2 linked regions of the Coturnix japonica genome follow. The protein of the gene in region 2 interacts with the protein of the main gene of each other region in a pairwise test. Links are inferred from orthologs where the notes say so. Each region holds a gene or a part of one and is shown on either strand. Other genes may lie near its edges.

Region 1 (4,606 bases), on a different chromosome or scaffold from region 2:
TCCCCCAGTGGGCTCCAACAGCTTTGCCTTTTTCCCCCCCCTAATTGTATCTATATTAGCACATTTTGCAGCCTCCTGCCCTCCCCTGTGGGAAAGGGGGTTCACCCCAGTGATGGGGGAAATCAGAAGGTGGGCATCAGCCTGGCCTGGGGAAGTGGCTGTTTAAAAATAGCAGCAAGGTTCTCTGGTGTGACAATACGCACCTCCCGACATGTATGTATAATGGATAAAGGCACTGCACGCGCTGTCACTGCTCCTCCTGGGGACACCAGCACTGTGCCCACAGCCCGGGCACACAGCAGCACCCAGGGCTGATCACAGAGGCATCCTCACAGCGAAGGAGCCAGCGGGGACACACAGCCAAGAGGGGATGCTCAGAGCCTGCAGCATGAGGGGGTCCCAAAGGCTTCAGCCAAAATGCAGAAGGAAGGGATGAAATCAGACTGTGGAGCCGCCCCCCTGCAGCATGGGCAGCCCTGGGGGTGGGGGGGCACACGGGAGGGAGATGCTAACGAGCAGTAACCAATTACGGAGATTTTTGAAGGCATTTGGTGCAGAAATCGCAGCCCTGCTTCGTTGCTCACATTATCCCGGATGGCAGAAAGCTGATGCTTCCCCCCAGGGTGTTGAAATAAAATGCAAGATCTTGAATTTCTGCAGAAAGAGAAAGAAGGGCTCATCGTTTTTTTCCCCATAACATCATTTTTCCCTCTGGTGCCTGGCTCCATCCAGGCAATGCAGTCCCTTATCAGTGAGCATCAGCAGCCCCGCAGATGTGGTTTCTGAAGAGCACTGGGGGCACTGTGTGGTGCCCTGGGGACCCCCAGCCCAGCAGTGTTCCCAGCCCCAGGGACAGCCAGGCCCTGCCACAGCGCAGCCTGGCACAAAGCAGGGCATTGAGGGACACAGCGGGGCTTTGTCTGCCTGCTGAGAAGGGCCCTGTTGCCCTCTGCAGGCGTCCCCAGCCCTGTGCTGATCCCCCATGGGGGGCACCCATGGGAGATGGGCACCCCAAGGAGCTGACCCCCTCTGCTTCCCCATCCCTGGATGTGTCCCCATCCCTTGAGGACCCCATGGAGGACTCCCTCTGGGGACTGTGCCCATTGGAGCTCTGTCTCTTGTCCCACATAGAGCCCAAAAGGATGGGGACAGTGAGAGAAGAACTGCCGTGAAAGCAAGGAGAGCAGAATTCCCATCAGAACACCCACTCTGGAGCACTGAACGCAGGTGTCTGACACTTAGGGAGCAAGAAGGCAACAGAGGGGCATCACTGCATCCCACAGATCCCACATTGCTACAACTCACACCTATAGGCACTCACACCCCAGCCAGGCCTGGGGGTCCCCCTCCCACTGCACAGTGGGTGCCCTGTGACCCCCCCCCAGCCCCTTTATCCCTTTTAGAAAAGCTTTCCCTCCCCCTCCCCACCCCAAGCCCTGAAGTTCTCTGCTTTGCCCACACACAGAACGGCTGGCAGCCAAGGGGTGCAGCTGGGGGGGGCCGGGGCGGGGAGGGACGGGGGCTTGTCCCTTTAAGGGGGGTGGCTGTCACTCAGAGAGCCCTTTTCTTTGCTGGCGAGTGGGACAGGCACCCAGAGGGGACAATACAGGGTGAGGGACTGCCAGGGGAGGCGAGGGCTGCAGACAGAGCCGAGCGCACGGGGAGCTGAGCGAGTCGGGTGCCATGGGTGAGTATGGGGACGTGGGACAGCTGTCACAGCTGTGGGGGCCTGGAGCAGAGAGCCCGAGCATTTCCCCTGGCACTGGCAGGCTGTGCAGGTGATGTTCCCATGGGTGGCAGGGGAGGAAGCAGGGATGGCATTTTCCTTTCCCATGTGGCTTTCTGTCCCCTCCTGGGACAGACCCCATCCCTCCGGGAGGGTAGAGGAGCATGAGCTCAACCCAGGGCTGCAGGGAGAGCGGGGCACTGAGACCCATCACAGCTTGTGCCACTTGTGTGCCTGCAGCTCCATGCCTCAGTTTCCCCATCGATAAAATGATGTCATCCTGCTGGGTGCTCTGATGGGGGTCTCACAGCTGCCACCCTCCTCCTGCCCGCAGCACTTTGTGCAACAAGGCCCATGATGGTGCTGCACAAGGGCCCTTTTTTCTCTCCCCTTTTCTCCTCCTGCACTTTTCCATCTCTTTCCCAAAGCTGGAGGGCACACCAGGCCCTGCTGCATCCTGGTCCCCACCTGCCATCTGCCAGCAACTGCCCCCAGGTTCCCAGCAGGGAGAGAAGAAATACTAAAACCCTCAAGTCAGCTTGGTACCATCATCGTGCTGCAACGCATGCAGCTATCCATCCCTGTAGGACCTGCAGGGATCAGGGTGCACTGCTGGGAGGGGAAGGCATAAGGACCACTCCCTGGCCCCGTTGTGTCCAAGGCAAACAGGCGGGGGGGTCTCTGTGCTCCCCCACAGCGCTGCCTTTGTTCCCTGTTTGCTCTTTGGACAATCCCCCATTGTCCTCGGTGCCACCACGCACCCTTGCTCTGTGTGGGGAGGGGGGGACGTTGCTGGCCAGGACCCCAAGGCTGCCTTGTCCTTGCAAGGAGGAGATGATAGGCTCTGTAGGGTCCGTGGGGGGAGCATGGGTTTGGGACTGCTTCCAGCACTCGGAGCGCTTTAGGAACTCAGTGCACACCCGCCGGGGAGGGAGTGGAGCTGCCCCCAAGCTGTGCCCGCTCTCTGCACCCCAACCTCATCCCAGGTTCTGTAAGCACCACGGCACCATGGCAGCCCAAATAGAAACCCCTAGCACTGCGGCAGCGGGGAGCCCATTAGCAGCTTGTTGGTTTGCTCCCACTGGCATCACGCTGCATCACCCCGCATCTCCGTCTCACTCAACTGCCAGCTCCCCAGCACCCTGCACTGCTGCTCTTGTAGCACCACCACAAATAGTTTCAGCATTTTTCCCTTTATCTCCCTAAAATCCCCCCTTGTGGCCCTGCAGGTCTGTTGGAGTGCTGTGCCCGCTGCCTCATCGGGGCACCCTTCGCCTCTCTGGTCGCCACCGGGCTCTGCTTCTTTGGGGTGGCACTGTTCTGTGGCTGTGGGCACGAAGCCCTCACCGGCACCGAGCAGCTCATTGAGACCTACTTCTCCAAGAACTACCAGGACTACGAGTATCTCATCGATGTGTAAGTAACGGCGCGGGGCTCCTCGCGTCTCCATTGCGCGTGATGTGCCGCTGTCACCCGGCTCTGCTGCCACCCACTGGGGCCGACACCACGCAGGCTGTGCTCAGCCCTGGGCAGCCTCACACCGGCGCTGTTGCCCCGTGGCAGATGCTCCATTTCTTTTCACCCTGTTCTTATCTGACCCACGCCAGGTGCTGTGGGGTGCACAGGACAGACGCACCAGGTAGGTATGGGGGCAGCAGGATGTCCTGCTTAGCAAGGTGCTGCTCCCCCTCATCAGCTCCACTTGGGGACAGCAGCTTTGTCCCCACAGGAGGTGACACCCCACTCCAGCTCCCCCAGGGGTGTGTTGGGCTTGGGGAGGGTAAGTGGGGCTGCACACGGGGCTGTGTGCCGCAGCACTGCCTGAGCATCCCCACCGCTCCTCTCCCCATAGCATCCACGCTTTTCAGTACGTCATCTATGGCACAGCCTCCTTCTTCTTCCTCTATGGAGCCCTGCTGCTGGCTGAAGGCTTCTACACCACCGGCGCCGTCCGGCAAATCTTCGGGGACTACCGGACCACCATCTGCGGCAAGGGCCTCAGCGCAACGGTAACTGGGGGCCCGAAAGGGAGGGGAGCGCGAGGCCCCCAGCGAGCTCACTCTTTGCAGCGGGTGTGTCAGTGTTTGGGAAAGTGGCTAGGACATCCTGACAAGGTGATCTTAACCGGGGTTTGGCACCCCATCGCGCGCCTGCAGCGGGTTTGGCGTTGGCTGAAGGGCAGGAGATGGCGACCGCCCGGGGGTCGGGGTGTACCGAGGGGAAGCGCAGCCTGACAGCCCTCCCCGAGGCCAACTGTGTGCCCAAAGCAGCCAATTTGACCATGGCATTTGCCCCCAAACAAATTGCTCTGTGCTTAGGGATCACCCGGCAGAGCCGCAAGCATCCCTGCAAGGGCAGTGCATGCTGCCACTATGGCTGTCCTGCATGGTGCCCGAAGACTGGTGCCCTAGTGCTGGGAATGGCCTTGGGGAGCAGAGGGGAATGGCTGCGGTTCCCTTTGGGTTCGGTTGGGGTGGCACCATGGAGGGAGGGCAGCAGAGCGGCGTTGCTCAGCTCAGGGGTTTTGCAGCTGCTCTCCCGCAGAGGTCAAACCCTGCTGGCCGCAGAAATCCCCTGGTATGGGAAGGGGCACCATTGTGCCACAGCTGGTCAGTCCCACGTGTGTGTGGTCGGCCCCAGTGCCGCCCAGCTCGGGCTGGCGGTCCATTGGGTGCATGGGGCTGTGTTGGGCACAGTGGGCAGTGCATCCCGGCCCTTCACCTGCCCTGTGCCCTGCCCGCCTGGGGACCCTCGCGCTCCCCTGTCCCCATTCCCAGCCACGCTGTAACCCCCTCTGTGCCCTCGCCTTGTGCTGCCCCTTGCAGTTTGTGGGCATTACATATGTCCTGACCATCGTCTGGCTCCTGGTCTTCGCCTGCT
Region 2 (3,808 bases):
AAAAGTAGATTTGTTATCTTTAATCAGTACTTTAAAAGTCTCCTTAACTGATCAGAAAAACTGTACATAAGCGTTTGTAGCTTCCTCTCTATACAGGTTTAATACTGATCTTGAATTCAAATATTTATTAGTGGTTTCAGTACTAACAAACTGTTTGGTTTCCTCTCCATTTCCAAAGGGAACTAGAAGCAAATTATAGAAAGAAATCTTTAAGACTAAGTTTCCTTTCTGAACTTTTCATTTATAGAAAGACTGAGACTCTTAGTCGATATACTACCAGTTATAGAAGCTATCCCAGATGGGTTATGCAGTATGAGTCGTTATTCCTAAAATAACCCCCTTTTCCAGCAAAGAGGTTTGTGAAACAGCACATTGGCATGAAGATATCTCACCATTCATGGACTGCAGATACAGTCACAATGGAAGAAACAGACACATCTCACGTATACAAAGCTTAATTTTACACACATAACCAGCATATGTTACAGAGCCAAACTGATAACACTATTTCAGCCTTATCCCCGATGCTCTCTTTTCTTTTCAAGCATTTCTCAATTCTGACAGGTAACTTCAGTAAGTAACAGAGTAGATATTTTTAAATGTTTGCTCAGTATTTTTCTTTAAATGTGCCTTCATCAGGAGTTCTGAAGGAACAGACACATCACAAATAACAGCAAAAAAAATCTGGATAAACGATGTTGTTTAAACGTTTGCCAACACAAGATAAAGGAAGTTTCACAACCTAGAACATGAAAAGCAATCTGTCAAACTTATTTTATTCTGCTTAACCTCCCGTATGTATAAACTTGTTCTGGAAGAAACATCTGACTCCATGCAGTCCTCGGCTTCTTAAAAATAAACGAACAAATAGACGCAGTGTAGGCCAGATTAAGTCTCATATCCCTACACTGCCACTGACTGACAACAACAGAAGTGCTAACGTAACTGGGCAAAACTATTTAGTACATGAGATTGCTTAAGTCAGCACTCAGGCTTTATGCCTGAGTATATAAACACCTCCTCACCCCTCATTAATTCTATTTGTTTCCCCAAAAAGCAAGCATGGCCTGAGATTCCCAAGACTGCTCAAACAACGGTAACACAAATCTATCCTTCCTAACCTGAAGAAGACAGCTAATAAAACTTGATTTTACCTTCATAAATGCCAGTCAGCCCTGGCCTAGCTCAAACTAAAACAGTAAACTAAACAAAACAACTCTGTTCTGATCAGAACCTCCTACTGCTCACTTTATTATTCATTTCAGAGAGAGATGGACAACACAAAACAGGCTGACATTCTGCATACATGCATAAACAGTTCAAGCTCTAATTGCAAAAGCAGTTGTATACGTCAATAGGCACATGTAAATATTACCTTGAGTTGAAGCAGGAGGATGTTCCTGTGGCTTTTCTTGTGATAAGAGCCCCAGGTAGCTGAGAACTACGTATTTTGTTTCATAGTGAAATCCTACAGGCACAGCAGTAGAGGACGCCATCGGGTTGGCTTGCAATGTGTCAGTGCTCTTATTGGGCACGTAGGGTTTTCTCTAAGTTACTGGACACTGTAAGAAAAGAGGAGAGTGGTTTGTTTTTCATTTCTTTTTTTTATAAAGTTGCAACAGGTCATGAACTCATACATAACACGGAATTATGTAACGATCATAAAGTAATATCCAGAGTTTTGCCTTTATATCCTATGCATTCTTCTTTTAATACAAACTATGCAGAGTAAAACCAAATGCCTTCAAGTCTAGTGCTCTGACCACAGTTAGCAGTGGGATTTCTCACTCCTGCCTGGCATACACACTTTCACATTAAAGCAAATTGAAGAGTTCCTCACCACGTATCTGCCTCCTAATGCCTCCCAACTCAACCACATATAAAAAACACAGGCGTAGTCAAGCAAAGAGGTTTGAAGGGCTCTGAAGACTCAGTTAACTGCAGTTTGAGGTAAAAAGGACAAGTTCAGAGGAAACTCCCTTCCCCTAAGCCTCACAAGGGTATTTTTCTCACTCTTTGCTTTCTCAGATTCTATATTATGAGGCAAAAAAAGAAATGATCGTAGGAAAAGAGAGAACTGTCTCAACCTCAGTTGTCTCAACCTCATTTTACTGTTCCAACAGCAATGGAAAACACACGGTCAACACAGGAAACTCTGTATTCGTTGCTGGGATTGGAAGAACAGATGGCCGTGTGTCCTGGATTTCTCACCAGACAATAATACTCATAAAACAGAAATCTGTATCTAACAGCAACATCTGGTCAAAGAATGACCTTATTTCACTATTGGTATCGTTGCTTCTTCAAACACCCAAACAAGAACAGCGAGAAAAGCTGGGGGAAACAGAAATTAGAAACAGCCATCAGTGACAAGGAAAAATTAAATAAATCTGAAAGGCAACATGTAAGTGAGGAAAAAGCAACACAGCAGATTGAAACAAAGTGTCAGACTAACCAACATGTTCTAGCATTTTATGTAAGGAACAGCCTGGATCCAATCAAGCTGATAAACCCAACAGCAACAAGAGCTTTCAAATGAATTTTCAGCATTGAGGTCTCCATCACTTCGAAGAGTCGCTCCAAGATAAGCAGCAGCTCACACCTGGCCATCAGAATGGATGCCCAAATGGAAGGCCAACACAAACGCTCACACTACAGAACAGGAACATAACAGATACTGAAGAAGTTAGAGGATTTACAAGCTTCAGAGTGTGGTTATGTTTAGAAGAAATATTCAAGCCAAGTTTAAAACCTAAAGCTGTAACGGGAAAAAGAGTTGGTGGAAAATTAGCTATCTTTAAACTGTAAGAACTCCACTTTCTGCAATTAGTTCATTATTGAAACGAGAGGAGGATACCTTCCTGAAGTCTACATTGTGGGAGGCAATTCCTCTTCTTGTGTATTTCAAATTCTTGAAATCCTTTACCAGAAACATTCACTTGAGTCCTCGCTACAGCTAGAACTGAAACAGTGATTTACATAGGAAAGAATCAATGTCAAAGACTCAAGAAAACACTTGACATATCATGCTTCAGAAACGCAAGAAGTTACAGCGAAGGATAAACATGACTTTTCTACAATACGCAGCTACCCTTCAGCCAACATCACACACTGAGCTTTCAATAAACATGAGAGATTTGGAAAGAACTACTGAGGAGACTTCAGGATCATCGACAATAGATGTATTCCTCACGCCAGATCCCCAGCTGCAACCTCTGCATCACCAGATGTGAAAGATGCCATTCACCAAAAAGAAAAAGCTCCTCAATACATTTCAGTTTTGTTTTGCTCACAGAGATCCAAAGTCCTGAAACTAAAGAGCTCCCTGCAATGCCTACACAATGAATGGAAGCCCTTCAGGCCAACCTGTACAGACCTGTCCAGAAAGAACTGGCCTGATGAGTGGTCTACAAAAATCCAGACACTGTGATGCGTATCAAAGACCGACTCTGAACATATAAATATTAGCCTTTAAAACAGATTTTCAGAGAAAATGAAAGGGAAAAAGAAACAATTGTGTTGAAACAGGAATGAGATCCTACACCAGCACAGTGATCCACATGCAGCAGTGAGGCCCGGCTCATGAACATTTCAGCATGCTTAGCTCAGCACCAATGGAGGGGGTGGAGGGAAGAGAGTCAGAGTCACGACTTGTTAAAACAGTGGCCAGTATTTCCCTGGGAAAGCAATGGACAGAAAGCAACTTCGATTGAGAAAAAGTAACCACTTGGGCAAATGTATTTTGCGAGGTAGTTTTATACCTAAATGACAAGGTGCAGTTAGGAACTTGAACGGAAGGACCATCTTA

What was found.
Region 1: the proteins of BCL2L13 (region 2) and PLP1 interact in binary tests that used the Homo sapiens proteins (3 or more experiments, as listed by UniProt). The two-hybrid records come from large-scale screens. The link is inferred for Coturnix japonica from reciprocal best matches to the Homo sapiens genes BCL2L13 and PLP1.

Annotation. Positions count from the first base shown.
Region 1 is NC_029519.1:1,950,289-1,954,894, reverse strand, and holds the start of PLP1 (myelin proteolipid protein), read left to right. Parts: upstream 1-1,556; 5' UTR 1,557-1,683; coding exon 1,684-1,687; intron 1,688-2,955; coding exon 2,956-3,142; intron 3,143-3,578; coding exon 3,579-3,840; intron 3,841-4,551; coding exon 4,552-4,606.
Region 2 is NC_029516.1:50,908,627-50,912,434, forward strand, and holds part of BCL2L13 (bcl-2-like protein 13), read right to left. Parts: intron 2,963-3,808; 5' UTR 2,858-2,962; intron 1,563-2,857; 5' UTR 1,497-1,562; coding exon 1,376-1,496; intron 1-1,375. UniProt on the Homo sapiens protein: May promote the activation of caspase-3 and apoptosis.